3 linked regions of the Nothobranchius furzeri genome follow. The protein of the gene in region 1 purifies or fractionates together with the protein of each later gene. This does not show direct contact. Links are inferred from orthologs where the notes say so. Each region holds a gene or a part of one and is shown on either strand. Other genes may lie near its edges.

Evidence for each region.
Region 2: the proteins of mad2l1bp (region 1) and mad1l1 purify together in Homo sapiens (co-immunoprecipitation; 4 studies listed by BioGRID and IntAct, with this or other methods). This does not show direct contact. The link is inferred for Nothobranchius furzeri from reciprocal best matches to the Homo sapiens genes MAD2L1BP and MAD1L1.
Region 3: the proteins of mad2l1bp (region 1) and lbr purify together in Homo sapiens (co-immunoprecipitation; 3 studies listed by BioGRID and IntAct, counting the BioPlex papers as one, with this or other methods). This does not show direct contact. The link is inferred for Nothobranchius furzeri from reciprocal best matches to the Homo sapiens genes MAD2L1BP and LBR.

Annotation. Positions count from the first base shown.
Region 1 is NC_091752.1:313,495-324,233, reverse strand, and holds mad2l1bp (MAD2L1-binding protein), read left to right. Parts: upstream 1-3,950; 5' UTR 3,951-3,991; coding exon 3,992-4,358; intron 4,359-5,974; coding exon 5,975-6,243; intron 6,244-6,332; coding exon 6,333-6,866; 3' UTR 6,867-6,969; downstream 6,970-10,739. Other genes in the region: uncharacterized protein kif16bb, read right to left, coding at 2,089-2,186, 2,780-2,896, 3,005-3,115, 3,182-3,245, 3,317-3,363; ephx5 (epoxide hydrolase 1), read right to left, coding at 7,387-7,588, 7,663-7,788, 7,860-7,968, 8,771-8,982, 9,257-9,386, 9,468-9,677, 9,754-9,934, 10,013-10,232 and 1 more. UniProt on the Homo sapiens protein: May function to silence the spindle checkpoint and allow mitosis to proceed through anaphase by binding MAD2L1 after it has become dissociated from the MAD2L1-CDC20 complex.
Region 2 is NC_091744.1:8,653,005-8,663,814, reverse strand, and holds the start of mad1l1 (mitotic spindle assembly checkpoint protein MAD1), read left to right. Parts: upstream 1-5,688; 5' UTR 5,689-5,823; intron 5,824-6,514; 5' UTR 6,515-6,561; coding exon 6,562-6,705; intron 6,706-6,793; coding exon 6,794-6,934; intron 6,935-7,078; coding exon 7,079-7,258; intron 7,259-10,810. UniProt on the Homo sapiens protein: Component of the spindle-assembly checkpoint that prevents the onset of anaphase until all chromosomes are properly aligned at the metaphase plate.
Region 3 is NC_091742.1:28,042,973-28,053,015, reverse strand, and holds part of lbr (delta(14)-sterol reductase LBR), read left to right. Parts: intron 1-1,047; 5' UTR 1,048-1,057; coding exon 1,058-1,222; intron 1,223-1,338; coding exon 1,339-1,512; intron 1,513-2,862; coding exon 2,863-2,940; intron 2,941-5,607; coding exon 5,608-5,794; intron 5,795-5,868; coding exon 5,869-6,065; intron 6,066-6,283; coding exon 6,284-6,338; intron 6,339-8,500; coding exon 8,501-8,695; intron 8,696-8,765; coding exon 8,766-8,869; intron 8,870-10,043. UniProt on the Homo sapiens protein: Catalyzes the reduction of the C14-unsaturated bond of lanosterol, as part of the metabolic pathway leading to cholesterol biosynthesis.

The sequences.
Region 1 (10,739 bases):
TCTCATAAACATGCAAAAACGTTTTTTTTATCTTAATTTTGACAAACTTCTGCAGCCGCGTAGAGCGGCCACCCATGCAAAATAAAATTGGAGTAATATCACATTTGCTTTATTGTTCCAATATTATAATAATCACATTTATACAATATAAATATTATATTGTTAGAACGCGATAGTACATTGTACTAATGTGAAAATTATAAAGCTATGTTAGAACGTGATATCGCTCCAATTTATTTTGTGTGGGTGGCCGCTCCAAGTTGCTGTAAACGTCTGGAAAAAAATTTAAGCTTTAAAATGTTTTTTCTTTAAGTCAATAAAGTTCCTCTAAAAATAAAAAAAGTTTAGTGAAGGACATCAACGTCCACATATGTGGAAACCGGGTCTTAGAGACCTAGTAAATATGTGTGTTGCTTTAAAAATTCCAGCTTTTAACCTAAGAGGTGATTTTTGCCGTAATAAATTAGTTTAAGGAACAACTTTAATTTGAATTTCCCCCTTTTTTTATAAAACTGAAGACAATTCAATGTTTGTATTAAACATCTTAAAATAGTTTAAATTTTATTAAAAGATGAAGCCAATATAGACAAAGTACCTTATTTAGCACTGAACTAAATTATCAAAGGCATCAAATTTGTCAAAAAATTTTATCTGAACAATTAGGAAAGCAGTAGTGGTAGTAGTGGTAGTAATGGGTCAGGCAGCCTTGCTTTTACACCGTTCAGTCTCAGCCAGCTTGGTGAAATGTTCCCGTCTACCTTTTATTTGAAGATTCAGGTCTTGCTTCAGAAATGACATCCTTGTCTTAGATTTACCTTTTCACAGCGTTCTGTAAATATTTCATGGGGCTGAAGTGTGGGGGAGATGACGGCATCATGAATTGGTTTTCTCTGTAGAAACAGGTGCTGTGTGCGGTAAGTGATGTGTTGTGCATGAACATTTTTTCTTCCTCGTCCAGAGGGCTGAACTCTTTACAGGTTAAATCTTCAGATTTTCTCAGAAGTTCACAGATCGTTTAGGGCAAACAGTCCAGATCAGCTCTGATTTAGCGTCATGTTAGAACAGGGTGGAGATTAAACAACCACATAGTTAAAGTTTCATTAAACAGCTAAAAAATGTGACTGCCCATGTGTCTGGGCCCAGCGCACAGGCTGCATGTAATCCTGGCCGGTAAACCTCTGAAGAGTTCTCCATGTATGGCAAACGTGCCTTCATCACGTCTGATTCTTCTGGCTACGATTAAATATGTCATTTTAGTAAATAAATACTGATTTGATGCCTCTTGTGAACATTGCACTATTCTGAGGGTTTTATCGTTTCTTTATGTACAAAACTAAATATGGGACATTAAATTTATCGTTTCACATCCGCCCACAAGTCGGAAAAGGGTAGAATTCCTTCTCCAGGCCAGGGATGAGGTCCTGCCTCAAGTGGAGGAGTTTAAGTATTTTAGAGTCTTGTTCACGAGTGAGGGAAAGATGGAGCGGGAGATCGATAGGCGGATTGGTGCGGCGTCTGCAGTGATGCGGGCGTTGTACCGATCTGCTGTGGTGGAGAGAGCCGAGCCGGAAGACTAAGCTCTTGATTTACCGGTCGAGCTACGTTCCCACTCTGAATGTGGTCACGAGCTTTGGGTAGTGACTGAAAGAACGAGATTGTGGATACGAGCGGTGAGAAGCTCAGTCATCCGGGAGGGGCTTGGAGTAGACCTGCTGCTCCTCCACAGAGAGGAGCCAGTTGAGGTGGCTGGGCCATCTGGTTAAGAGGCCTCCTGGTGAAGTTTTCCAGCCACATTCTACTGGGAGAAGACCCAAAGGAAGACTCGGACACGCTAGAGGAACTATGCCTCAGGTGGCCAGGGAACGTCTTGGGATTTCCCCAGAGGAGCTGATCCAAGTGGCTGGTGAGAGGGAGGTCCGGGCCTCCTGCTTAGGCCAATTCCTCCGGGACCCAACCATGAGTAAGCGGACGAAAATGGATGGACGGATCCTTCCATAAATGTGTTGAATATCCACTGAAACTGATCACCACAACAGGTTTGAAGAAGCAACGAATGCTGAACAGAAGGCAACGATAATACGGCCTTACCTGACCTCCGTGTGAAATGAGACAGTCTCAGTTTTGCTTCTGTTGGATAACTCCAAGAACAAGCCCTCACAGATCCGTGGAATTAAACCTTTATCCACCTAAAATTGAGAAGACATCTGCCTTTACACCCGCTGAAATAGACGAAGCTCGCACTGAAATGACAATTACATTTCGATCCTATTATACTTCAGTTAATCTGGTTGTCTACACCATGCCATAACCACGACTCAGCACACACACAGACCGCTGAACAACAGCAGCTCATCAGCTGTGGAGGTAGTGAAGCATAAAAGCAATCCCAGCCGGAGCAGTACGTCCTCTTGTTTTTAATTACAAAGTAACAGACAGTAAGCATTAAGTTATATAATTATCTCTGATGTTGACAGCAACTCTGCTGATGACCTTGCACAAGTCCCCCAAGCAGAAACCTCCTAGTGTAAAATCCCTAGTGCAGTGTGTGTGTGTGTGTGTGTTGCTGCACTCATCAAAAATTCTGACTAGTGAGGAAGAACAAGCTAGTCTAATGAGGCAGCATTCAGTTGGGGTCCAAAGTGGCAAGAGGTCATCACATGCAGAGTAAAGACGGAGGTATAATAGAAGAGGTATGCATACAGCACTGATTGTTGTGAAGTCGTAAATATTGCCGTTACGCTGCAGTGTTCAGCATGCATATTGCAAGTATTTTACTTACCTTATGTCCCATCATGGTGTAAGTTTTCCCTGAGCCCGTTTGGCCATATGCAAACAAGCAGACGTTGAAACCTTCAAAAGCTGCTTTTATTACATCAGATCCCAAGTCCTGGAAAATCTGAAACAGGTGTAAAATATCCATTTTACACATTTATAGAAATAAAATGCAAGAAGTGGTTCAACACTGGTGCAAATAAGAGTTAAACAGATGAAACACAGACAGCACCTTCTCCTGGGAAGCAAACGTGGAGCTTTTACTGTCAGTTGAGTCAAAAGAGAAGTCAAAAGAAAAGATTTTGCCTCTGTCCTTCAACTTGTCTCCACGTAAAGAAGAAGGCTGAAATAAAAAAAAAATCACTCAAATGAACTCAAGTAGAATTCATTCTGTGACGGTCTAGCCTACCTTATGAATGGATGCGGTGTTCTCCTTCATATGCACAATCACCTTTGATGACAACTGTTTTTCTCTGCAACAAGCCGTGCAAAAGTTTGTTTTCTGTTTTCCTGTTAAAATAATAAGTCACTCTGTTCTACTGACCTTTTGTTCAAAGGGCGCACTCTCACCGCGACCTGAACTGAAGACATTATTAATCAAACCAGACAGACGAAGAGCCAACGTCCCGTTGCTAGAGTTTTAAGCAAACCTTGTCCTTGTTTGTTACCACCTAATCTAATCATCACACCTGGAACTGATCCTCACGTTGTCGATGCAGTGCATAAACTGTCCACTAGAGGGTGTCTCAAGCACGTTCTCCGTTTAAATGTGCCTTGGGCAAGATCAGACAATACATCACTTCATAAATATTTACTTATAACAAAAACGTTTGGTTTCCAATTGACGAAACTGTCGTTTGGTAATATTACACGTGGTTGAATCTGTAGTGTGCAAAAAACAAATATCTGAAATGTCCTGCATTCACAATTCATAGGTTAAAAAGGCATTATAAGTCCTTGCAGCTGCTACCAGAAACAGAAGGGCTGTCAAATAACAACAAACGTTTTGTGTGAACCCAAAATATGATGATGATATAAATCGTTTCTTGAGAAGTAAAATAAATGAAACAAGAATAGTTAAATTATTGTAAGAACACCAGAGTGGCGTTGGGAAGCTTATTTTTTCCGATTTTGTGCTACGTAGCTTGAATGCGACATCTATTGGATTTCCCATGATGCAGTGCGAGAAAACACCGGCGCGGACTTTCAAAAATAAAACATGGCAGATAATTCTACTTGTTCAAAACCTACATCAGTCTCGGCGGCGGCCACAGAAACGGAGACCGCTGTTGACACCACGGGTGGCGGGATAAAGGGACGGCTCTCGTTTTCACCACAGAAGGATGTTAGCGTTGATGGAGAACCCGAAATAACGCCTTTAGGCGGCAGTGCGGAAAGTGTCTCCAACGTCTCCAGTTCATGGAGCCAGCCAGAGGGAAGAGCTGAACGACTCCCGTCTGATGCCAGCGACACATGTTCAGAGACGAAAAATGATGGTAAAATAAGAGAAGAGTGTCCAGAACAACGCAGAGGGAGTTCTACTGAAGCCAAAGAAAATGCTGCTGTTCCCACAACCACGTCTCAAGGCAGGTAGCATAGAGTTAGCTTACTTTCCTGCTTTTGATCCGTTTAGGCTAATGTGCAGCTATATTTGGTTTCATACCCAAACTGTTTCCTGATCAACTTAAAATAAGCTTGTGCCGGTCAGTTTGATCAGTAGGTAACGCCTGATGATGTCAGATGTCAACATAATATTTCAAATTATTGCTTGTGGACAAAACTAAATGCAACTGACCACATTAGATGTGCCCAATAACGCCAATAAAATATACATGTGATCACGGCTAGATGGATCGGGTAATTTCAGAACAAGAGAAACATAAAACAAGATGTTTAGAAAGATACAAGTTGTTAAAGTATGATTATTTCACTAAACCAGTTAGGGTTAGGGTTAAATATTAAAACTACAACATGAGAAGCACCAAGTAGAACCGTTGAATTTTCAGCACGGTTGTTGTAGTTAGATTATTTTTAAGGATCGTCTCATTTGAAATAAGATGTTTACCTCAAAAGTCCCTTAAGCTGTGTTTGCAATGTTCTTTCTCTTTAATTTGCATTACCTCAGCTTACGTGTCATCCATCAGTCTGCGTGGTTACACCTGACGCATTTATGTTCATTTAAGGCTCTTTTCATTATTGGTTACCTAAATGTTAAAAATAAAACTAGAGAAAAGAGTCAACATCAAGAATTAGTGGACCTAGTTTTCCTTTTATGTAAACTTTGGAATTATTTAAATGAAGAAATAAATAATGCATTTATTGTAAGATGTTGTTTTTGCTAAAATGTGGTTTTTAGATTCCTGGTTTACTTTTAAAGATGCCAAAAATTGTAAGGATATTTACCAACAGATGGTCAGTTTTCAAATCTAAAAAACTTTTTTGCACATTTTTTACTAAGAATTAAATATCAGATTTTTAATTGTGTCATGTGATGCAGTTCAACATTTTATTTAGGAAAAAATTGCCACGTGCATTGCAAACCACAATTGCAAAACTCAGTTAAATGTGACTTGTTAAATGTTAACATTTGCATATTCATCTTGACTTTTTAGTAGCAAAAACAAACATCTTGCACCATTTTTCCTTGAATCGCATTTGGAAACATTTGTGACTCAAAAGCCACAAAGAGGATTGAAAATTGCTCATGCAGATTCTTTTGAAATCTGTCACATTGATGTAACTCCTTTTTCATGGCTGACACAGCACTTCCTGTGGGGTTTAAAGGTGTCCCGCTGCATGACTCTGCTCCTCCTGACTGGAGTAAGTTAAAGGAAGGACACTCGTACACATTTCTGACACTGGTTGCAGAAAGAGTTCAGCATTTAAGATCAACTCCCTTAGTGGAGATGAGTCAGCACAATGTGGTGGTGTGTTGGGTCTTGTGATTGTGTGATTTAAAAGATTTGAGTCCTGCTGAAGCACAGGTCTCATAAATCTCAATAAGATGCGACTCTGTAAGTGATTTGATCTGATTAGAATCAAAAGTAATCTTCCTCCACAGCCTGATTTCACTCCTCATGTTAGTTTTTGAGACGAGTGAGCTCATCAGGTTTATCTGAATAATGGCTCTGATACATTTCATTAACGTTGACCGTGACGGGTCCATTACGCTCTGTAATAACTTTATTCTGGTTCTGGACAGATAATGCACAAGAGGACCCTTCTGAGCCGGATTTCGATCAGACTGCCAACAATCAGCAAGTTAACACAGAGGAAAATGATGCCGAGGTGGTGAGACGAGCACGGGAAGAAGGCTGTGTGGACGTGGCCTTCCCTGGAGCCGTAACTCAGAACAGCTGCTATCGTTTCGTCAGCGAAATCCTCAAATGCATTCTCTATCAGAGACAACAGCTACCCATGACATACGACCAGCTGGTCTATTCCCAGAAGAAGCTGCATACTACGGCACAGGTAATACATAAATGTAATGTCTCACTGTCAGGTGAATTTATTGTAGATTTGAGATTAACCAACAGTGCTTGGGACGTTCTGCTTCCCAGGATAAAGATGCAGTGAGTCGGAGGCTCGCACAGTCTGCCAATAAGGACCGGCGTAAATGCCATCAGACTCTCCAGGAGATGGAGGAGGTGCTGCAGCGACTGGAGGTGCTGTTTTCCTTGAGCAGGATCCCCCGTGTTTTACTGCTGATGGGCAGCTCGGTCATCCTCCCCAAGGAGATATACGAGATCAACATGGAGGCCCTGGTACTGGCCGATGGAAGTCAGCCTCTACGAGTGTCGTCATGCTTAAGGCAACTGTTCCGCACTCTTTTTGTCGCCGACCTTTTGTCCGACACCAAACCCGTTCGCTTAATGCCCACCACAGTGTTGGCGCTGGCCCACAGGGATTGTGGTGTGGACTGGTTCCGCCCTAAGATGCAGTTTAAAGTCCCAACGCGGGTAAAAAAGCAAGTGATTGCCCTGTCTACTGACCCCGGCGCCTGTAAGAAGCTAAAGGCAGACGGATCAGACTGGCAGGATTACGTGTGGTTCCAAGCACCAATGACCATTAAGGGCTTAGCAACCGACCCTTAAAGTTAAGCAGTGTGTTGTCTGATCTTGGATCACCGCTCCAGAAGTGTAATCTGGTCAAATTTATTGGGCGTTCAAATTAAGTATTAAACTTAGCTGTGCATGTGCGTTTTCTGTCTGTTTCAAGTCACGCAGATCTACATCAGACCGTCGTGGTGTCTTACCTTTTAAAGCTTCTGATGCAGAGCGAAAGCTTCCTAAAGAGGCATGACTGGTGGGCGATTGTGTTTATATTTCTAGAGAATTACTTTTCTGGTGTAGAAAAAGAGCAGCAACACAAACGTCAGTGCAATATACCTTTACTGAACAGAACTTGAACAATTACAAAGCTTTCCTCAGTCATAAGGGAACAGTGGTGAGCCGAGGTCTGGTTCATGTTTACATCTTTGCAATAATGTGGTAAATCAAGCGATAAGACTCGCGGCGTGGAAAGGAACAAAAAAGATGTGTATGTGGTGTACAGACTATCAGGTATAATAAAATACTAAAACACCTGCATGAAACCGGGAGTACGCTTAAGTCTTCAGAGCTTCTCTACTTTTTTAACAAACTGGAAAATGTCATCCGCAAGCAGCCGGGGCTCTTCGAAGGCGGCAAAGTGGCCACCTGCTGGCATGAACGTGTAGGAACAGATGTTTCGATACCTAATCTGTGCCCACGACTTGGGGCAGTGCATCAGCTCCTGAGGGAACGCGGCCAGACCGGTGGGCACAAATATTCCCGTCCTGAAGCAAAAGGTGGGATCGTTAGAGAAATTATAAAATGAGATTAAAATTGATGTGAGCATTTGGTCTCCTACTTTGCATCGATTCGGCTCTCTGGGTTGGTCTTAAAGTTCTCTTTGTAGAAGCGCATGGAGGAGACGATGGAGCCTGTGGTCCAGTAGATCATGACGTTTGTCAAAAGGTCATCCAGGCTGAACTTTCTGTACAAAAAAGACATTTCTAGTTCATAACAGAGGGCAGCAACTGACTAAAGCATGTCTATCTTTAGTACCTCTCCAGCCCACCATCAACCAGGTCTCTGTTCGTCTTTTTAGTCCAGGTGGAAAACTTCTCCAGAATGTAGGCTGCCAAGCCCACGGGGGAGTCGTTTAGCCCACAGCCTGCAAACACAGAAGGAAATCACTCGTAGGTCGGATATGAGGATGTTTTTCTTGCCAGTCAAGCAACAACTTTAAAAATAAACAATTCTAAAGGTCCAACATCCTCAGGTGTTTCCTCTAAGCTGAGCCTTTAGGACAAAGCAACACACATACTTGTTCCTGAGGAATCAGTTGTATGTTTTTGAACTGCTATTGGCTCCTTTTCTGCCATATTTCTAATATGGCGCCTACATAACTATATAACAAGTACGTATGATGGCTAACATAATGGGGAGTTTTTATGGTGACAGTTTTAGCTTCATTGCAGCAAACTATCACCAAGAATCTGGGAAAACTCCACATCCTCCTCCCAATCGCTCTTTTGTTTTGTCATGCCGGCTTTTAATGCGTGCTCGTAGCCGAGGTAAGTGACCGACGGCTCCGCCAGTCGACGGGACAGGCTGCGCTCAGACGAGCCTGTCACCTGAATCTTTCTCAGCAGAAGCAGACTAAACTGAACTGTAACCTGAATGGAAACTTCCACTCGACACACTAGCTAGCCCGGCCCTGGCTTCTTTTCCTGTCCGTGAGCTCCAAGCTGAAAGAGGAGTGTGCAGAGGGCAGTTTGATGGATCACGATCCCATCCTTTACAACGGGACAGTCACAGTGATTGGTTGAGGTTTTTCCAGGATTGTACGTTTCAGAAGCGATTAAAGTCAATATGTGAAGAGCAATTATGGCAAAAAAGCTCCACAAACATCTGCCCCACCTTTAAATTGTGAAAATAAGAAAAGTCGTCTTGAGCCCGTCTCACAGCCTCACCTGCAGTATCTGGCTTGGTGGCCTGAATGTGAAGGTAGCCACTCTCCCTCAGTACTTCCCAGACATTCTTCTCAAAGAAAGGGAACAGCCGGCGAACATCTTCCCGACTAAAGCCCACCAGGAAGGGCAGATAGGGGCCGATGATCAAAGACAGCAGCACTTTGAACCCCCGTGTTGACATGCACATGTTCAGGTGGAGACCTTTCACACAGCTGGAAAACAGAAGTATTGTGAAACAGCTGCTTTCTGGGTTCCTGACTCATAATTACTGCTGTAAATGTGATCTTGTGGCAGGACAATGTTATCAGCTCCGTTCTTCGGGAATCTGTGCTGTCATGACTTCGTAATCATCTGCACACAGTGGAAGCATGGTTCCACAGCTGAGGAACGCTACAATGAGCTCTTTCACCAACAGCTTAGTTGAGGGAACTTTCTCAGCCATGCCGATGTGCAACATGGTTTCTAATAAGCTGGTTTTGTGCTTACTCAGGCTTCATCTGTGCCATGTTGGTGGTGATAAGCGAGCCCCAGTCTCCTCCTTGCACATAGAACTGGGAAAAGCCCAAGCGCTCCATGAGTGTCAGGAAAATCCGAGCAACAGCCAGACTGTTAAATCCTGGAAAGGAAGCAGGAAGCACACTGCTAAAACATCAGCTGTCCGCAGAAGCAGACGTGTGCACACGTTATTCATAATTACCTTGTTTGTAAGGGGCTTCTGAGAAGCCATAACCAGGGATTGAGGGGATTACGACCTCAAATGCAACTCCATCCTGGCTCTGGGTGAGGAGGGGCAGAATCTTGTAGAACTCGTAGAAAGAGCCGGGCCAGCCGTGAACGAGCATGAGTGGCAGAACCTTCTGGTCCCCTCGGACTGCCTGGCGCACGTGAATGAAGTGCACATCCAGTCCTGCAGCACCAGAAAAAGTTTTTACAAGAGAAAACATTGAATCTAACCCGTTTGAACCCCGTGGAGCTGTGTGTACCTTCTATTTTGGTTCTAAAGTGTGAATACTTGTTCAGCATCGCCACCTGCTTTTTCCAGTCAAACTCATTCCTCCAGTACGAAACCACTTTCTTAAGGTAAGTGGAGTTAAAGCCATAATTGAAGCCGCAGTCTTCTAAAGGATCTGAGAAGCGGAAGCTGTCGATGCGCCGATGGAGGTCCTGTTCAACAAGATAACAGCTGATTCCTTCACACTAAAGCTGCTGTTGTTAGAAACTGGGTTGGTATTTTGCAAGCACCTTAATCTCTTCATCTGAGGTTTTCACTGAAAAGGGGTAGATCGTGTGATCCTCCGAGAGAGTCTTCTCTCCTGCTCCCCACCATCCTTCACCAAGAGGGATAGATCTGGCTTTGTTCCTCCTCTGCATGACATATGCCAGAATTCCACCTGCCGCCAAGGCCACAGCAGACCCGATAAGGAGTTGCTGCTGGACAACATCCAGGCCAAAGAAAGTGTCCCTGCAGGGGGGGGGGGGGGGGGTCCAGAAAATCAAATAATGAGATCAAACTTTTACTTTTCATATCAACATAAAACACCGCAAGGATTTGTTACTTTAAAAGCTGCAGTCTCTGCATTGTGAAGGGTCAAAACGTGCGCGTGCTCAGGTTTCTTTGTGCTGTAACAGGATAAAGGTCGACAATGGTTAATTTGTTGGGGGGGGGGGGGGGTTGCACACAGCACTTCGAAAAGTTGCGCGAGCCGAAATCTGCCCCCCGTGCCCCTCCGCGTTTTTAACGTACCTTGTTTGTCACGTTTTAAGTGTCCGGAGGGAATGTTCTCACTTCCAGTCTGGAGAGAGCAACCTCCGGGATAATCCGTTCCTGAACGCAGCCTTTACCTCAACTGGCTGCGGGGCGGAAACCCCTCAGAGGCGGGGTTTGTGTGTGTCTCGGTGATTCCTGATTGGCTGAGAGATAAGCTCGCGCTCTTGCTGTTGTTTACATAAAGAAGAATCCGGAAGTTCA
Region 2 (10,810 bases), on another chromosome or scaffold:
TTTTTAGGACTGTGTGCTTAATTGTTTAGTATTTTTAATCTTTTTTTGTTTTTCTTGAAACCAGCCCATCACAATACAAGAACATGATTGTGAGAATTGAAACCGACGTCAATGGATTCATCCGTTGAAAGACAGACAGTACAGTTTGGTCAAATTATAGTTTCCCCTGAATATGATTTTTTTAGACATGGAATTATTACATTTTTATTCAGTGAAATTGTATATTTGATTTTCTGTTTTACTTAAAATACACCAAAAAAATCAAAAGCAGAATTTCTTCTTCAAAAATTCAACATAGTTTTAACGTAAAAATTCAACAGCAGAAATTCAGTTATAAATGAGGTGACCTCCTTGTGACCTAAGCCAAAGAAATCGCCACTCAACTGAGTTGAGTGGTTTTTAACTGATCAAATTGCGGGTCTGATCATGTGACACTCACTAGTGTCACATGATCGGACCCGTAATTTGATTGAGTGACGATTGCTTTGGCTTGGGTCACCAGGGGGTCATTGAAAATCTTTTTTTGCTGATGAAATTTTATTTTAGAATTCTACAGAAATTTTCAAGATAGAATTTTTCAGCTGAATTTTAACAGAATAAATTTTTTTGCGTACTTTTAGTAAAATCATTGAAATAGATAATTTCACAGAATGAAAATTCAATGTATAAATTAAAGTCATAACCTGAGACTGTATTTCTTCCATAATATTGTCATTTCACAAAACAATATGTGTGTCAATCCATGGTTCGTGTGTGATCCATGTAGAGTTAGTGTTATCTAGCTATCTAACTACTGAGTATATTTAAGAGATTTAAATCTGGAGTGAAGAGATGGGAACACATCTCCCTTATCTTGGTCTCTCTGTGCTGGCTTTCCCACAAAGCTTTGGATCCATAGTAAAATTTTAGTTCAGGTGTATGAGGCTCTTGCCAGGATGGCTCCAGCCTACATGTCCCATGGAGATCTTATTGCTCAGCCAGTTATGGTCTCTTGGTGGTTTTGGACAAAATGGTAATCTAGTGACCGTGCATTTTTGGTTTTGTCCCTAAACTCTGGAACCAACTACTTGAAGTTAAATGATTGTCAGTCCAAACTTGACTAAATGGTGTTTTTGTATTTTCTGGCACAGAGTGTGTATTTTGTTTGCTTCAAAACACCACTCAACGTCACAAAGCCTAGTGGATGACTTGGCTTACATGAGTGTGAAGGGTATTGGATGTTTTTATCACCTACCACCTGAGATGAAAACTCAAGCTGTTGCTAATGTTTTAACACCCACACCTCAAACTAAGTTTGAAACGGATAGTTCCTGTACTCTGGGTTGAGGTGTCTGTGATCCAAAACAGCTGACACATTTTCCTCCAAAAGGTGTTGTCCTTTTTTTTAAAATTGGGTCCAATTTCCTGACATGTCTTTAACCTGATCACTTTTTCCCATTCAAGATGGAAAATCTCCAAACTTGTTGATGCAGCTTTGCTGCTCTCTGTGGGACGAATGGTGAAATTACATTTTGATCTGTTAAATACATTTTAGGTAGAGCTGCGGAAAATAATCAAATAGTTGATGCATCGGGATGCGGACATAAACGATTCTGCATCGTAGAAGAGTACGCCATAATCGATTATAGTGGAATAGTTTTGTTTTTTTAAATGATCATTTCCCTTGCCAAAAATTGTTTATGAATGTGGAAGAGACCCAGCATCCTGTGATGCGACTAAGAACATCAAGAGATAATAAATAAAGTAATATTTAGGTAAATTTAACCCTTTACAGGTGACCAGGGCACTGTAATCAATTTTTGGCAAGGGGAATGATCATTTTTTGCCATTTTTGGGGTGTTTATGAATGTGGAAGAGACCCAGCATCCTGTGATGTGACTAATAACATCAAGAGATAATAAATAAAGTAATATTTAGGTAAATTTAACCCTTTACAGGTGACCAGGGCACTGTAATCAATTTTTGGCAAGGGGAATGATCATTTTTTGCCATTTTTGGGGTGTTTATGAATGTGGAAGAGACCCAGCATCCTGTGATGCGACTAATAACATCAAGAGATAATAAATAAAGTAATATTTAGGTAAATTTAACCCTTTACAGGTGACCAGGACCCTGTAATCAATTTTTGGCAAGGGAAATGATCATTTGTTGCCATTTTTGGGGTGTTTATGAATGTGGCAGAGACCCAGCATCCTGTGATGCGACTAAGAACATCAAGAGATAATAAATAAGGTAATGTTTAGGTAAATTTAACCCTTTACATGTGACCAGGACCCTGTAATCAATTTTTGGCAAGGGAAATTATCTTTTTTTTTTTTTTTTTTTTTGCCATTTTTGGGGTGTTTATGATGATACAGTAGACAGTATGAGTACAGTAACATCAGCAGATAATTCATAAAACCCTTACTTGGTCAATTTTAGCCTCAGTGAAAAACTGAGCGATTCAATCACTTTTTGGCAAGTAAAATGCCATTTTTGTTGTCTACAATTAAATCATCAATAAAAAATTTTAAGATATTTTTAGGCATTTCTTATAGGTAAACAGGAGGGTATAGTCACTATTTGGCAAGTGACAATCTTAATTTTATGTGCTGAAGTGCTTTTATCTTGTTACTTTTAAATAGAGTAAAGTAATTTATAGATAGCAACTTACACAGTGTCATTGTAAAGTCAACGCTTGATCAGTTTAAATACTATTTTTCAAGTAAAAATGTGCCCCAAACTAGTTACAACTGTGGCTCCATGTCAAGTGGACTAAAGAAAGGAAGGGGGAAAAAAATCAAATCGCTGGAAAATTGTTTATGTGCATTTATACAACGTTTGACTTTACATTCAATACAGGGTGCCATTTTACATATTTTATTTATTTTTTAGTATCACGGTTGTAACATAAAGATAGCCAGTTCTTACCACAAACCATCTTTCAATGGCAAATATTGCAAAAAGGATTAATATATCCTCATTGTGAACGTTTAAGACAAATAGCAACACTTATAACAACTTCCGAATTGGAAAAACTAATATCCGCGATAAACATCTGTTTAAGTACCGGACGAGGTTATCTCTGCTTTCTGAATGTCCATATTGCTACATATGCTGAGTTTTCAGGCAAAATCCTGGGGAATTTCGTCTAGAAATGCAATTACCCTAACCGTGCGCGATCCCGCGGTGGAGGGGACACGAGGAGGGGGTTATATTTACAGTGTGTTCTAATGGGAAACAGGCTTCAACACAAATGGTTGTTTTCCGCTTGGTCCTAGAGCTCAACCAGTGTCAATTTAATATGGTCTAATATTGTTTTTGGATGGTAAAAAGTGCAGGGGTCAAAACTTGACTTTGGAAAAAGTGGTGGCGGTGGTGGTGGTGGTGGTGGTGGTGGGGGGGGGGGGGGCACATGTCCCCCTGTCTCCCCCCAAAAATTACGTCCATGCCACGGTGGCTAATCATTTTTTGGCAGCCTGTCGATTTATGGCACAACACCGGGTCAATGATGGCGGCTGCAGCGTGATCATCTGTCTCTTTTTTATTTCGGGACACTGAGAAGTTAAAAGGAGAGAGAAATAGAAGATAGAAGTTCTTGTTCCACTTTATTCTTTTGTTTCATGATGATAAACTGATGTTAGATTCAATTAAAAAAACTGGGAGGAAGCTTTGGTTCATTTTAGGTTACAGGAGGTCTGTCTTCTGCTCCTCCAGAGACAGCATGGACATGAGGGTTACATGGTGAGGGTCACACAGGACAGGTTAGTGGAAAGGTTTGTAGTTAGCTGGTTAGTGAAAGAGATCCATCAGCTGGGTAATTTAATCCTAATCCAGCCCACAGCCTTCTGCTGGTGTTATTATCAGGAAGAATAAAACACACATCTTAAATATTATTGGAAGTGTAGAATTTGTTTTATGTTTTATTATTTTCTGCATCAAACAGAACTTGATTCATTCTCCAACATTTCAGAAATGAGACCACTGGGTTCAAATAAAATATCTAAGTCAAACATTTCATTTGGTGTCATTTCTGACATTCTTGAACTGTGGCATAAATATTTGACTCTAAAGCTGCTCAGCGACATTAAACACTCATATATGAACCCATTATGTATTTTATTATTACATTATGTGTCCTGTAGGTTTTCAGTTCTTTTTTAGATTTTGTGCAGCGGCCGCAAACTCACTGATGCACCTGCAGCCTCTCAGAGTTCCTGCTGATCTAAACATTGAAATAATTATTTCATTTTCTGTTCCTCACTTCTGATTACCTTCATTGGTGTCTGTTTGTAGCAACCACCCGATACGAAAACAAACTTGTTTTTTATGTGACTATTTTCTGTCCTGTCTGTTTATTATCTTCCTGCATCCCCCCTCAATCCTAAAGAAAAACTGTTACCTGTTTTCATATTTTTCACTTCATGAGTTACCTTTGAACTACAGTTCAAAACGATCTACCGACCGCGAAAATAGCGGAGTGAGCGCTGACCGCACCTGTGAGGTGAATTCACTGGAGGACTAAACAGGTGATGCGCTCTGCACCGCAGCAATAAAACGCATCAGGCACAAATAAAAGACAGAAAGCATGAAAGGATATGAGCAGGCATAAACAATTGCGTGTTAAATTTGTTTTTGAGGTGGCGACACTTTGAGAATGTTACTGTGGCCGTGCTCAGGACACGTCTGTCTGGAGCGCACCAATGATCAGAGCTTTGCGCCTCTCAGCTCTTACTTAAATTAAATATCCCTGGAGAATCCACATAGACAATGTAATATACAGTGGGGCAAAAAAGTATTTAGTCAGCCACCGATAAGTTCTCCCACTTAAAATGATGACAGAGGTCAGTAGTTTACATCATAGGTGCACTTCAACTGTGAGAGACAGAATGTGAAAAAAAATCCATGAATTCACATGGCAGGATTTTTAAAGAATTTATTTGTAAATCAGTGTCTCTCACTGTTGAAGTGTACCTATGATGTAAATTACTGACCTCTGCCATCATTTTAGTGGGAGAACTTGCACAATCGGTGGCTGACTACATACTTTTTTGCCCCACTGTAAGTAGAACCAGGATCGTTTCGGGCTCCCCCTGGGTGTGTGTTGAGGGCTTCCAGTTTGTTGCGTGAGTCGCCGGATCCTAGCAGACAGTGGCCAGAACAGTCCTTTCAAAATAAGATAGTTCCCGGATCTTGTAAGCCCTGATTTTAGGTTTCAAAAGCATACACAAATGTGCAGGTCAATAGTATTCTTAAATATATTGGAATTTCTGTGGTAAATAAAATTTAAATAAAATCAGATTTAGGTTTGTTTCCAAGTTTACACAAATTAGGGATTTTGTCTTTATGCAGAAAAATGTTAGCCTGGCCAGCAAGACTCCTCTGTTTAATTCTACTCGTTTTCTGTGCAGAATTAAACAGAGGACGAGTCAGGTAGGCCAGGCTAGAAAAATCTATGCAATAGAATATACACACATCCTTGAGTTAGCCTACTGAAATGTCCTTTTGGTCACAGAAAAGCCCAACAGCTTTAGTCATGTAATTCATTTAATAATTAAAATGAAAAAAAAAAACTATTACTTCTATTGACTTGCTGTATTCTTGTATTTTTATTTTAGTTTTTCTGAACATTGCTACAAAACACGAATGATACATTTGAATTGAAGCCACAGAAAATTAACAGGAAAAAAGAAAAAGATAGAGAATGATAGTCTCGCGATGTTACGTGCATCCCATTCGAGTAAAACTGGAGGGCTTTCCAACGAGCAGCTAAAGTGCTAACTCGTTAGCAGTGGGGATAACTTATCTGCGACAGACCTCCACCTGTTTACAGACGTTTATGTGGTACGGTGTTATGTTGCCAAAAGTTGTACATTGATGAAAACTTTAACATTAATAACTTTGTGACGTGTTTTGAGAAGCTGCATAAACGCCGTTAGTTCTAATGTTTAGCTTGTGTAGCTAGTCCATGGCTAAAAACAACAGTCAAAACCTCACCGTCTTGGAAATCTTTAAAAAGCAGAAAAACCGAACTTGAAAACGAATCAAATAGCCTACATGTTAGACATTCTATCTACTTGTTTGCTACTTGTTCTGCTTCCATTATTGAGCTAATCAAGGAAGCTAATGAATGATTATGCTACAAATCCACGTTATAAAGTTGATATGCACTTTATTCTGTTTGTAATTTTACAAAGACATGCTAAGCAATAGAGCACACACATAGATGGTAAAGACAGTGTTGTGACTGCTTATTAAAGGACGGAGTTTTAGTTTTTCTCTACTTTTATTGAAAATTGCTACAACTAACCTTGTTATATGCAAAATTGACGTTTTTATTGGAGAGATAAGAAATACATTTTAAAATTAGTTGGTGTATTTGACTAATAATAGCTGTGTATTAATACTAATGCAAAAATTTCTAGCTAGTTTTAGGTTTACAGCATTTTTTAAATATGGTACTTATGTGAAATTATGCTCTTGTCCGTGTTTGTCATTGAGGAAGTTCTGATGTTTCAATCTTTTTCATTTCCAGAGTTTTTTTTAAATTGTGTGCAGTCAGTAACACCAGTGGTCTATACAATGGATTTTGAAGATGACACTACTGTGTTAACAACTTTGAGGTCTTTCAATACCTTCATAAGTCGCCCTGAACGTTCTCAGCTGCAGTCGGAGCGATCAGCGGAAAGTGGAAACCTGCAAAATCAGTACAAACGCCAAATGGAGGTAAACAGAAATCCTTTGCTTTATCGTCAATTCTAGTAAAATCAATATTTAGCTATAAGGCAGGTTAATTCTTTTGTCTTTGTTTTAGCTTTTGGAAGCAGCAGAGCGGGTTCACACTCAGCATCGCTATCTACAGCTGGACCAGGAAAAGAAACAGATGGAACTGAGTCACAAAAGAGCTCGTTTTGAGCTGGAGAAGGCGGTCTCTGAAAGTGCACGAGATTTGGGGGTACACAACTCAAATATAGCAGCACATTGATTTATCACAGTATAAAATGATTGGTTGATGTGTTTTTATTAGATGTACTACACACAGAGTTTTCTTCAGTGTTCTTTTATCCACCTTGTTTACGTCTTTCTTTCTTTTTTCCAGCATGAAGTGGACCGGAATCAAGAACTTTTGGGGCGCATTAGAAAATTGGAGGAAAGGGAGACCGAAGCCAAAAAGAACTTGTCAGAGCAGTTGGAGGAAAACAGTTCTCTGTGTAAGAAAGTGGAAGGTCTGAACAAGAAACTGGAGGAACGAGACACTCTGCTAAATGCAGCCAACCAGGTACGCACAGACTTATTTTGTGTTTCTGGCTTTTTTTTTTGGGCTCACCACTCATGGGAGGGGCCAAAAGGGTCGGGTGCAATGTGTGATGGGTGGTAGTCGAGGGCGGGGACCTTGGCGGTCTGATCCTCGGCTACAGAAGCTGGCTCTTGGCACATGGAATGTCACCTCTCTGGTGGGGAAGGAGCATGAGTTGGTGTGTGAGGTTGAGAGGTTCTGACTAGATATAGTCTGACTCACCTCAATGCATGGCTCTGGCTCTGGAACCAGTTTCCTTGAGAGGGGCTGGACTTTCTACCACTCTGGAGTTGCTCCCACTGAGAGGCGCCGAGCAGGGGTGGGCATACTAGTTGCCCCCCATCTTGGTGCCTGTACGTTGGAGTTTACCCCAGTGAATGAGAGGGTAGCCTCCCTCCGCCTACGTGTGGGGTGAGGGTTCTGACTGTGGTCTGTGCTTATGCACCAAACTACAGTTCAGACTACATACCCTTTTTGGAGACCTTGGAGGGGGTGCTGGAAAGCGCTCCTTCCGGTGACTCCCTCGTTCTGCTGGGGGACTTTAACGCTCATGTGGGCAACGACTGAGACCTGGAGAGGTGTGGTTGGGAGGAACGGCCCCCCGATCTGAATTTGAGTGGTTTTTGTTATTGGACTTATGTACCAGTTGTAACGGAATCAAATCATCATCATCATCATCATCATGGATTGTCCATAATGAACACCATGTTCAGACATAAAGGTGTCCATATGTGCTCTTGGCACCAGGATACCTTAGGCCGCAGCTCGATGATCGACTTTGTTGTCGTTTCATCTGACCTGCGGCTGCATGTCTTGGACACTCAGGTGAAGAGAGGGTCAGAGCTGTCAACTGACCACTACCTGGTGGTGAGTTGGCTCAGATGGTGGGGGAGGATGCCGGTCCGACCAGGCAGGCCCAAACGTATCGCAAGGGTCTGCTGGGAACATCTGGCAGAGTCTTCTGTCAGAAGGAGCTACAATTCCCACCTCCCACAGAACTTCCAAAATGTTCCGGGGGAGGTGGGGGACATTGAGTTTGAATGGACCCTGTTCCGTGCCTCCATTGTTGAGGCGGCCGACCGGAGCTGTGGTCGCAGGATCGTCGGTGACTTTCGTGATGGCAACCCCCAAACTCGCTGGTGGACACCGGCGGTTAGGGATGCTGTCAAGCTGAAGAAAGAGTCCTATCAGGTCTTTTTGGCCTGTGGGACTCCAGAGGCAGCTGACGGGTACCGGCAGTCCAAGCGGAACGTGGCTCGGGTGGTTGCCGAGGCAAAAGCCCGGGCATGGGAGGAATTCGGGGAGACCATGGAGCAAGACTTCCGTACGGCTTCGAGAAGATTCTGGTCCACCATCCGGCGCCTCAGGGGGGAAAGCAGTGCGCTACGAACACTATCAATAGTGGGGGCGGTGTGCTGCTGACCTCTACTCAGGACATTGTGGATCGGTGGGCAGAGTACTTCGAAGACCTCCTCGATCCCACCAACACGCCTTCCAGTGAGGAAGTAGAGTCTGAGGACTTTGGGTTGGCCTCTCAAATCTCTGGTGCTGAGGTCACTGAGGTGGTTAAAAAGCTCCTCTGTGGCAAGGCTCCAGGGGTGGATGAGATCTGCCTGGAGTTCCTTAAGGCTCTGGATGTTGTGGGGCTGTGTTGGCTGATGCGGCTCTGCAATATCGCGTGGACATCGGGGGCAGTCCCACTGAACTGACAGACCGGGGTGGTGGTCCCCTTATTTAAAAAGGGGGAGCGCAGGGTGTGTTCCAACTACAGGGGGATCACACTCCTGAGCCTTCCTGGTAAGGTCTATTCAGGGGTTCTGGAGAGGAGGGTCCGTCGGATTGTTATACCTCAGATTCAGGAGGAGCAATGCGGTTTTCATCTTGGCCGTGGAACACTGGACCAGCACTATACCCTTAGGGGGATCCTGGAGGGTGCGTGGGAATTTGCCTAACCAGTCTACATGTGTTTTGTGGATTTGGAGATGGCGTTTGACTGCGTCCCTCGGGGGTCCCTGTGGGGGGTACTCCGGGAGTATGGGGTACCAGGCCCTCTGATATGGGCTGTTAAGTCCCTGTATGACCGGTGTCAGAGCTTGGTCCGCATTGCCGGCAGTAAGACGGGCTTGTTCCCAGTGAGAGTTGGACTCCGCCAAGGCTGCCCTTTGTCACCGATTCTGTTCATAACCTTTATGGACAGGATTTCTAGGCACAGCCAAGGTGTGGAGGGCGTCCGTTTTGGTGGCCTGAGGATCAGGTCTCTGCTTTTTGCAGATAATGTGGTCCTGTTGGCTTCATCAGAACGTGATCTCCAGCTTTTGCTGGAGCAGTTCGCAGCCGAATGTGAAGCAGCTGGGATGAGAATCAGCTCTTCTAAATCTGAGACCATGGTCTTGATTCGGAAAAGGGTTGAGTGCCTTCTCTGGGTCAGGGATGAGGTCCTGCCCCAAGTGGAGGAGTTTAAGTATCTCAGGGTCTTGTTCACGAGTGAGGGAAAACTGGAGCGTGAGATCAATAGGCGGATTGGGGCTGCATCTGCAGTGATGCGGCCGTTGTACCGGTCTGTCGTGGTGAAGAGAGAGCTGAGTCAGTAGGGCTGGGGGTAAACAATTATTTTTAAAACGATTATTCTGACGATTATTTTATCGAATAGTCGACTATTCTAATGACTATTTAGACAATTAATCTAATGATTATTTTTCTATTGCACAGTTAATAAAAACCAAAATATCTCTAATAAATTCCTCAAAAAATTGATAAATTGTTACTGTAAGAGAATAAACATACAGGCCTTCCATTTTTTATAACACTGCTTTTATTGTGTTGTTGTTGGTTATGTTCTGGTGACGTGTAGAACTTGGGAGAGCAGGCTGCTGCCTGAGAGGTGGTTGGAGATGGAGTGTCTCCATGCTGCTTTGTTCTGGTCACTTATGTGCGTGAGGCGAGTGGTGTTACGACCCTTCCTGGGGAGTTTGGCTCGTGTGCAAAAAGGAAGGGACAACAACACGGGATTTAAAAGTTAAAGTGATGATCAGGTTTATTTACAACTACAAAAAAACATAAACCTTTCCATCCACAGGTTGGGAATTAATAAAACTAATTCTGCCTCTGGGGAATTAAAACAAAAGTACAAATAAGTAGGGATGTCCCACTGGGCAAAGATTACAGGGTTCTGGACCAAAATAAGGATCTCCAAAGGTCCAAATTCTAAACTGGGTGGTTAAACCAAACTCAAGGTGATATTTTAAACTAAACTGAAAACCCACAACACTCTAAATGTAATAAAAGGGAGATCTGCACCACAAAAGAGATGAGCTCTAAACCAAAACGTAACAGCTTATCCAAACGCAAGAAGCTGTTAGCGAAAATGCTAACAGTAGCTTTACCAACGTAAAGTTCAAGATACAAGTTTAAATAAACCAAAAACACCCAGCAGCAAACAGACCAGCACGGAGGAGAGACTGCTACCACCAAAACAGCTCTCGTTAATGTCTGAAGGAAGTTCCTTTATGAAGGGAGAAACGCTCCCGGTGATTT
Region 3 (10,043 bases), on another chromosome or scaffold:
TACCCAATCCTATTACACACACACACATAGCAGAGGTGGCTGGGAAACAGTAGGCATGAGCAAAAGCACTCGTAGAAAATTCTCGCCTGACGTGAACAGAGCAGTGGGCAGCACGCGAATTTCGTGAATGATCCACTTCGCGACACACAGCTGATGTGATCCTGGCGTCATGCCATTACTGAGTTGTAGTCATTTTAATTAGCAATTTTACACGTAAATAAATCTCAAATTATGTGACAGATGTAGTCGAAACACTTCATTTAAATTGAAGTACAACGCGTGTGATTGAGGGCGTAAAGGTAAGAAGACCAGAACCTTGTTCAGGGACCCACGAGCCGACCGGAAGGGGAGTAGACTCGGGTTCCTTATTAGAGACCGCTGCAAATGTCTAGGTCAGGGGTGTCAAAAATGCGGCCCGTGGGCCAAATCCGGCCCGCAAGCAGGTTAAATCCGGCCCGCGAGATGGTTGTGTAAACTTTATTTTGATACTTTACAATGTAGAGTAAAAATGAACTTATCAGTGTGAGCAAGTTTTCTCTGTAATGAGTATAAATAAAACAAAGCTGCGCTCAAGGCTCACACAAGAACTTGAATCCCATCCTGAAGTTCACCGCCACTCAGGATGTGACTTCTGATGTTGATGTGCTGGTGAAGCTAAAAGATGTAAAGTAAAATGAGTCAAATATACTTTAAGTGCTGCATGAAACTGATCTTGCCATGTGATCTGTAAGCTCTTTGAATCACTAAGCAATGTTTTTTTTTTTTTGTTTTGTTGAATTTTTTTTTTTTTTTCTTCCAAAATTTCAAGTACACTTCAGGTGTTGTACTTGTACTACGCTGTCCTCAGGCTCCAGCCTTGTTTTATATTGATTGTATTAAAACAAAGAGAACAATCAGAAGTTTTTTTTTTTTTTTAATTTACCGGTCCGGCCCACTTGGGACTAGATTTCCCTCAATGTGGCCCCTGAGCTAAAATGAGTTTGACACCCCTGGTCTAGGTAAAACGAGTGAAGTGTGTCTTTAACACTGGTGTTTCCTCTTCTTCAGGTAATTAAAAATGCCTTTACCGAAGTACCCGACAGGAGACACGGTGATGGGCCGTTGGCCGGGTAGCAGCCTGTATTATGAGGTCAAGGTACTCGGTTACGATTCCAGAAGTCGACTCTACACAGTTATCTACAAGGATGGAACAGAGCTGGAGCTGAAGGAGCAGGACATCATGGTAGGACCACAGTTAGTTTTACCTGTATTTGTTTATGTTGTGGTTTTATTTCACTTTCTTATGGATACTTGATTTGATCTCCTTTTTTCCCCCATGATTGTTGTCACTATTGACAGAGTCTCGCTGGCTTCCAGGCCCGATCACGCTCACCAGGACGCCGTCGCAGTCGGTCGCGGTCCCCTGCGCGGACCACGCGGCGCTCTTCCTCTCGTGCTGCTGCTGCTGCCGCCGCGATAGCGGATGGTGCAACACCGTCTCGCAAGGACCCAAAGCAGAGAGACGCGCTGGAGGTCAGGCTCATCCCAGTATTATGTGTGCTTACAAAATAGAATTAGATAAAGTAGGTATCTCCGCCTTTACCTGTTTTAGTCGGCTGAAGGTAAATTTCTGTGTATTCATTGTGTAAAAAGTCTGGTTTCAGGTACAAAATAATCTTTGCAATTAGGATTGGGCGATATGGACCAAAACTTATATCTTTGTCTTTTAGCTGAATTCCGATATTCGATATATATCTCGATATTTTTCCTCCTGTAAAATATTTACACGTTAACTCACTTCAAGCTGTCGTGAGAAATTATAAACATAAATCAGTAGATTAAATGCATAAAAATGTAATGATTCTTGTCAAACTTTAAGCTTAGTGCCTATTCTCTGGTACAGCTGTCTGTTAACACACACACACACACACACACACACACACACACACAGTTGAGAGCTAGAGGTGTATCAAATGTCCCACAGGCACTTTTTAATTATATATTTATAATTAATGTAAAAATATTTAAATTTCATCTAGAGGTGGCCGATATCGTATATTTCTTGTCCAGAGAAAATAAATCTATCATGTTAAACTAAATGTATGATGATGTCATTGCATCTACTGAAGATCACATGGGTCATGCACCGTGGAGTTATTAGTTATCAGGGCAAACATGGCTGGAGTCTAACAGTATTGGCTCATATCAGCGATTATACTGTAATGACTCAGTCTCTGGTTGCCAGGCTACACTTTTTCAACAGAATCGCTCGTAACAGAGTATTTACTAGCATAGCAAACCAGAGCGGAAAATAACGTTGAGCTCGCCTTCAAAATAAAACATTAACCCCATGCTTTACTATTCAAACACTTACAATATATTTAGGTAATTTGGCCACTCCGGCTATCCGTAGATGTTTCCTCGTTACACAGGGAAGGGAGGGAGGGGTCCGCACAAGCAGGATGGAAAAACAGAACTCCGTTGGTGTTGAACGTCCCAAATAATTAAAAACCATGCTGCCAAATGCAAAGTTTAGAGCAGCACGTTTACCCAGAGGCTCTCAGACTGAACAAACTTGTGAGAATACGTGTAACAACCGCTTAGAGACGGAGCAACATGTCGCTAGCATAGCAGTTTGACCAGTGATATCGATATAAAGATATAAAGTCATCTTATATCTTGTTTAAAAATTACACCAATATTTAAAAAATATCCATATATCGCCCAGCCCTATTAGCAATGTGTTTCTGTCTGAAAAAGATCTTAGAAGAGACCTTAGCTTATTTAAAAATGTCCCTACCTCCCTTTAATTCTAGCGTTTGACCCCAACATGTCTGTTCTTTGTGTCTCATCTCTACTTCCTCTGTTTGACGGCTGCTACAGACGAGGCCCACTGAGAATAACAGCAACGATAAGCATGAGCAGAAGGACGAGAAAAGCATGGCTCCCAGAGTCAGTGAGGTTAGTCTTGAGCTGTGGTCCAATCCGGTCCCCCACTCCTTGATTTCAGGTGTCATCGAATGAGAAGCTGTCACAAAGCAGTCGTGTCAGACTGACCTGTTGCTGGTCTCATTTCATTTAGCTGTGGGTCTTTGTCTCCGTGTTTTCCATGCTCAGCACTTTGATGTTGGGCTCGTTTAGCCAACTTCCAAGTCTAAAATGCTCCTTCAGTGTACGTATTCCTAACCGCTTCATTTTTGAGTACATTTATTTGATCATGTGCCAAGCCTTTCTTCTTCTGTGGTTTTGATAGTGGTATTCTCATGCAGACTCGTGCAGGTGGTTCTCTTGTTTAAAGGGGGGGGCTGCAGGGTGTGTTCCAACTACAGGGAATCACACTTCTGAGCTTCCTTGGTAAGGTCTATTCAGGGGTTCTGGAGAGGAGGGTCCGCCGGATTGTCGAACCTCAAATTCAGGAGGAGCAATGTGGTTTTTTCCTGGCCGTGGAACACTGGACCAGCTCTATACCCTTAGGGGGTCCTGAAGGTTGTCACGGTATGAAAATTTAACCTCACGGTTATTGTGACCAAAATTATCACGGTTTTCGGTATTATCGCGGTATTTTTTAAACGGTGTTGCATATGTTCAGAAAGCATTGATAGTCCTGTTCTACACAAACTGAAATAGTTTTGAAAAGGTTTAACAGTGTTTATTAAACCTAAAATAACACAAAGCCTTAGCAAAAGTGCAACTTTTCACAAGTAAAGGAACAAATAGCTTCTTTTTCTGGAACATGTTACAGTAGTCAGTGCAGGTTTAAATTATACAAATCCAAACATTCAAAACATAAACAATATGTAAACAAATCAAAGAAACACCACTTGTTTTCTCATATACTTGTTTTCTTCATTATCAAAATGAAAATCTAAAACTCCAGTCCACACTTGACTTGAGCGCTGTACAAGTCAACCTTAAAAAAATATGTATTTAAAATAAATAGCCACTTTAAACAAATGACTAAAATAACTACTACACTATGTAATCAAATCCAAATGTTCAAGTATAAATGGCATTGAATAAGTAAACAAATACATGACAAGGAACTAACTGTATATTTCTCTTCATCATCAACAAATAAGATGCTTCATCCAGCAACAGGGTGTCCGTGACACGGTTTAAATGCTGCCAGAGGACGCTGCGGCTGCAGTATATAGTGACTCGTTGCATTCTCCCTCAACCAAAAGTCCTCACGTCATGCATTTCAGCTAAAATGCTAATGTTATCTTACCTTGCACTGGCTGTGGAGACGTGGGTGATCGTCACGCAGATGTGCCATGAGATTTGAAGTGTTGCTGCCTTCTGCAGACACTTGTTTCCTGCACGTTCTGCAAACGGGATAGCCGTCTTCTATTAACTGTCCCTCAGCATTTTTCAGAAATCCAAAATATGCCCATACTTCCGATTTAGTCTTCTTTGAGGGCTGATGGATGTCCTGGGCGCTGCCGTCTCCTCCTTCGGCCATTATTTCAGCTTCAAAGTTTTGGTGCCGTTGCAAATTAAAAAGTGCGTGTGCGCGCCGCGGGAACTTCAGCTGAAGCGACGGTGGCTGGTAAGGGTCACCGCGCCGAAACCGCGGCCACGGTAAACCCACCGAGATAATATAGTTTTTTAAAAACTGGACGGTTATTTTTATTGTCAACTTTTTTACCGGGGTTTACCGCTATACCGGTTACCGTGACAACCCTAGGGGGTCCTGAAGGTTGCGTGGGAATATGTCCAACCAATCTACATGTGTTTGTGGATTTGGAGAAGGCGTTTGACCGTGTCCCTCGGGGGGCCCTGTGGGGGGTACTCCGGGAGTATGGGGTACCAGGCCCTCTGATACGGGCTGTTAGGTCCTTGTATGACCGGTGTCAGAGCTTGGTCCGCATTGCCGGCAGTACGTCGTACGAAGAGAGTTGGCCAAGGCTGCCCTTTGTCACAGATTCCATTCATAACTTTTCAGGACAGAATTTCTAGGCACAGCCAAGGTGTTGAGGGGATCTGTTTTGGTGGCCTGAGGATCGATCATCTGCTTTATGCAGATGATGTGGTCCTGTTGGCTTCATCAGAACATGATCTTCGGCTTTCGCTGCAGCGGTTTGCAGCCGAGTGTGAAGCAGCTGGAATGAGAATCAGTTCCTCTAAATCAGAGACCATGGTCTTGAGTTGGAAAAGGGTGGAATTCCTTCTCCGGGTCAAGGATGAGGTCCTGCCTCAAGAGTTTAAGTATCTCAGGGTCTTGTTCACGAGTGAGGGAAAGATTTAGCGCAAGATTAATAGACGGATTGGTGCTGGGTCTGTCTTGGTTTAAGAGAGCTGAGCCGGAAGGCTAAGCTCTCGATTTACCGGTCAGTCTCTGTTCCTACCCTCACCTATGGCCACTTTTAATATCAGGTGGGTCATTATAGCTGAAGCTGCAACTAGAGTCAAACCTGGCTTGTTCTGTCATTCAGACACAATTCTGATTGCTCTACAGCCGAGAAGGACACGGGGAAACGAGCTCTAACCCTAGATCAGAGTACAATGCAACGCCAACAACCCGTTACAGTCCGTCAGTGTGTGCTGTGATGTTGGCTTCTTGTTGGTTCTGTCGCAGCAGTACTCCCACCAGATGTTTTTGCTTTGTTTCTTTATTGAACGGATCAGCCTGAGAACAAAGAAGAGGCGCAGCCTGAGAGGAGCCAGGGTCGTTACAATCTGCGCCGGAGGAAGGATGACGGAGATGTGGAAACAGTAAATGCTAAACCGGAACCCAAGCAGCAACCGGGGGCTACGACACTGGCAGCTGCTTGGGCCACACCGCCTGTCCCGCTGGATTTCGGAGGGAAGCTAGGTGGGTAAACTTTACCCTGTGGGATGACGGATATATTCCAGTATAACAACATAGTGTGGTTATCTACTCCACAGGAGCATTTTTCTGGCTGCTTTTCCTTCCAGCTTGGGTTCTGTTTCTGATTCTTCAAGTCAACCAAGAAGACCCCAGTCTGACTAACTTCCCTCCTCCTTTTCCTCCTCTGGAGACTTTCTGGGACCTCCGGGCTCTTGGCTTTGTGCTCCTCTGGATCTTGCTCCAGGCTCTGCTCTACATTTTACCGATTGGAAAGGTGAGTGAGAGGACCTGAGTCTACTGGGAGGTGGGCGGTGCTTCCGTGTCTCTGTTCTAGCATCCTTGTGAAGCATCACATGACCTGGCAAAAGGCAGAAGCAAAATAAATATAATAGTTTTTCCCGTTTCCACAAGAACCCATGCTGGGTTTCTGTCCACGTTTGAATCTACTGTTGTCTCTGGTTTGATTTTAGACTTTTGTCTCTTTCTCCGTAGCTCAGTGATGGTGTCCCACTGAGGTCTGGTGAGACACTTCGATACAGAACCAACGGTAAGTGTGTGATGCTGAGCCAGCATCGGTCTCTTTAGTCCTAACTAGAGAGCACTTCTGAACACAATGAGGTGGACCAGACCGTGCCGGGTCAGCAACAAAGGCCCAGAGGATGCAGTGAAGTTGTGTGTGTAGAACAATGTCACGTCACAGCAGAACTGCTGACAGCTCGTTCTTCAATGGGTCCAATAAATGGACAAGGTTTTTAGTTTTTTTGAACTGTGTGACTGGTAGAAAATTACTAGAAATTTGCTAAATATCACATATGTATATATACGTATATATACATATGTATGTATACATATATGTAATATATATATGTATACATATATATATGTATACATATATGTAATATATATATGTATACATATATATATGTATACATATATATATGTATACATATATATATGTATACATATATGTAATATATATATGTATACATATATATATGTATACATATATATGTATATACATATATATATACATATATATATATATGTATGTATATACATGTATATGTATGTATATATATGTATATACAGTAAATCCATTGCTCATGTTGACTTATGCTACTACAGAATAATACCGTCCAATATACACATTCCTGCAACTGACCAGAGCGTCTCACACGTAAACCAGTTTAAGACAGGCAGACATGGCAACACCAGTGACTCCTTAGTGGGGAGGGAGGAGAGTGATCCACATGGAATTACGCCTACAGTTTTAAAGTGATGCCAGTATTTTCTGCCGGGTCACATTTGGCCCATGACACCACAAATGTTACCTTTTTTTTTAGAGACGTTCAAAATTGACTAAAATTGTAAAAATCTAATTGACCCGAACACAATACAAGGGTTAAAAGAAAATGTGAGTGCTTAATAGTTGATTAGTTCATTGCAATAAAGTCTTAATTGTATTTTTAGAAGTTCTTAAAAAAAGTAAAGTTTGAGATCCCTGCATTTACCCTGTTATCACATTAGCTTAGCTTTTAATCCATATCTTACCTGACCCAAGGGTTACTTCCCTCTGCTGGGGTAATCTCCTCCATCTCATGTTGACCTCTTGTGTTCTGCTTCTGCCAGGATCACTCTGTGATGTTTGGCTGTTGCACACGAGTGTTCATGCCACACTGGGAACTCTAGAAGGTACACAGGCAGACTGCAATGACGTCTCGCCCCAGCAGGACACGCTACGTCGCCAAAAGCATACGTCCCTAAGCAGACCAATAACCAAAAAGCTAAAAAGATAGAGTAAAGCACTTCCGTTAACACTTCTTTTAGAGTCTGCTCATGACCCAGCTCTCTTCCTCAAGCCCTCGCTTTGGTCTCAGACTCAAGCTGTGGGTCTCTTTTTCCCGTCTTCCAGCTGCACATTCATCCTCCTTTACACATAAAACCCCACTAAACTGCAGAGAAGTACCGATCGGTCACAGATCGCTCCGTTATCTAAACTTTTGCCAAGAGTTCTGTCTCTGCTCCTCTTCGTGAGATCATCACACCCGCTGTCACTGAGCTTCCTCTTGTCTCTCTGCAACACTAAACACTACAGAACCATCAGTTGAAAATGTGAAATTTCCACCAACAGCAAAGCCATCGGATGTTTTTGTGTTTGATTCTTTATGCTCCCCGTCCCAAAAGTGTGTTTTCATTGGTCGGTTGCAGACAGGAATCGTAGGTTTTCAAGCGGAAGACTGTTTGGTCATGAGACGGCTCAAAAAGCTGTTGTGGAGCCGGTCACACCGTACGTGCACATACATGCAAATCACCCTCGTGGTGACCGTCTTTTGTCTCGATTCTGCTCAGGACGAGGGGTTTGGCTAAGAGCCAAAAACGACACCGTGTGAACGGGGCATGGGAGTGGCTGTGAGTGGTGCGCTCTGTGCCGTGTGTGTCAGACCTACGATACTTCTCTAATCACCTGCATGAGTTGATCGCCCATCATATGTTGGACTGATGACCAGTATCGGTTGGAAAAGGGTTCTATATTGCCCGACCCTAGTAGGAAGTCTTGTTGTTGGGATGTTATCCTGGAATACTGGGATGACTATTCCTCACTCCTCTACAGGAGTCAGAGGTTCATCTGACTACAGGCGTGCTCTTGTTGAGGGGGATGCGTCTCCTGTTCTGTGTGTGACGGTCCATGTCCTCTGTGTCCCTGTCCAGGGTTCTTTGCCTTCGCGGTGAGTGCCGCTGTGGTGGCAGCAGCGATGTACCTCGATGTGGACCTCACCTACATTCACAGCCACTTCCTGCAGTTGGCTGTGGCCTCCTTCCTCGTCTCCCTGCTCCTCAGTGTCTACCTGTTTGTCCGCGCTCGCTCTGCTGGTCTTGGAGAGCTGGCTCTGGGGGGGAACTCGGGTATGTGGAAACACCTGGAGTCTGGTGAGGCATCCACAGACGGCTAACAGATGTTTACTTGTCCCTTCAGGAAACGTGGTCTATGACTTTTTTAAAGGACGAGAGCTGAATCCTCGTATCAAAGGCTTTGATCTGAAGTTTTTCTGTGAGATGCGTCCTGGACTCATCGGCTGGGTAAGTGGGGTTGGGAGGCAGACTCCTGCTCAGTGTGCAGAGAGATCATCCTGAAGGTGTTTGAGCAGTGGCCGCTGGTGGGCCTATTTTATACTTCTCCATCAGCTCCACGAGGGAGAGATGCACATGCATCGACAGATATTTGGCTTTCAGTCTTCTCCATCAGCTGGGGGTTGTTGCAAAACAATTCGTCTGCGAGCACGTCGAAGGGCTTTTCTGTGCGTCTCCATCCCAACGCAGGCAGAGTATAAATTAGGCTTCACGAGTAACCTCAGCAATGCTTTGGATTAGAGGTCGACTGGTATCGGTTTTTCTATTGCCGATACCGGCATGAGGCGGTCGTGGTCAGCCGATAAGTAGGGATGCAACGATACCACTTTTTCCCAAATCGATACTTGGGTCTGGGTACTCGCCGATGCCGATATTTCTACCACACAAAAAAAAAACAATGATTTGGATTACAGATTTTATTTTCTTCTCTGCTTTCAACAGGAAAAGACTGGGGTAGTTAAAAAGTAAAATATATGAATGGAAATCATCACAAAACTAAAATATTGGGTGAACAGAAATGACAAGTTACAGTGAAGCTATTTTCAAGCAACTGCATTGGTATCGGTTAACTTTTACCGATACTGGTATTGGTATCGGCGCCAATACTGATACCAGTATCGTATCGGTTAACTTGTGCCGATACTGGTATTGGTATCAATACCGGTACCAGTATTGTATCGGTTGATTTTCACCGATACTGGTATTGGTATCTGCGCCAATACCGAAACCAGTATCGTATCTGTTAACTTTTACCGATACCAATACCAGTATCAGTAAAAGTTAACAGATACGATACTGGTATCGGTATCGATACCGATACCAGTATCGAATTGGTGCATCCCTACCGATAAGTGCTGCAGGTTTTTTGTCTCGGTGTCTGGCGCCTTATCTGAAACGTTAATTGTCACCAACAGTGACGGTGGGTGCACAAGAATCCCTGTAGCATCTTTTCTTCCTGTTTAGGTCCAGTGGACCGCGTCTTGATTCCAACTAACTAGACGTGGAAATGCTTTAAAATAGTTGCGCAGTGTCGTCGTCACTTTGTGGTTCAGTCTGGATGACAACAGGAAGTGCTACGTTTATTTTTCACACGTTGGATCGCTCTTAATTGTGACAACAAGCC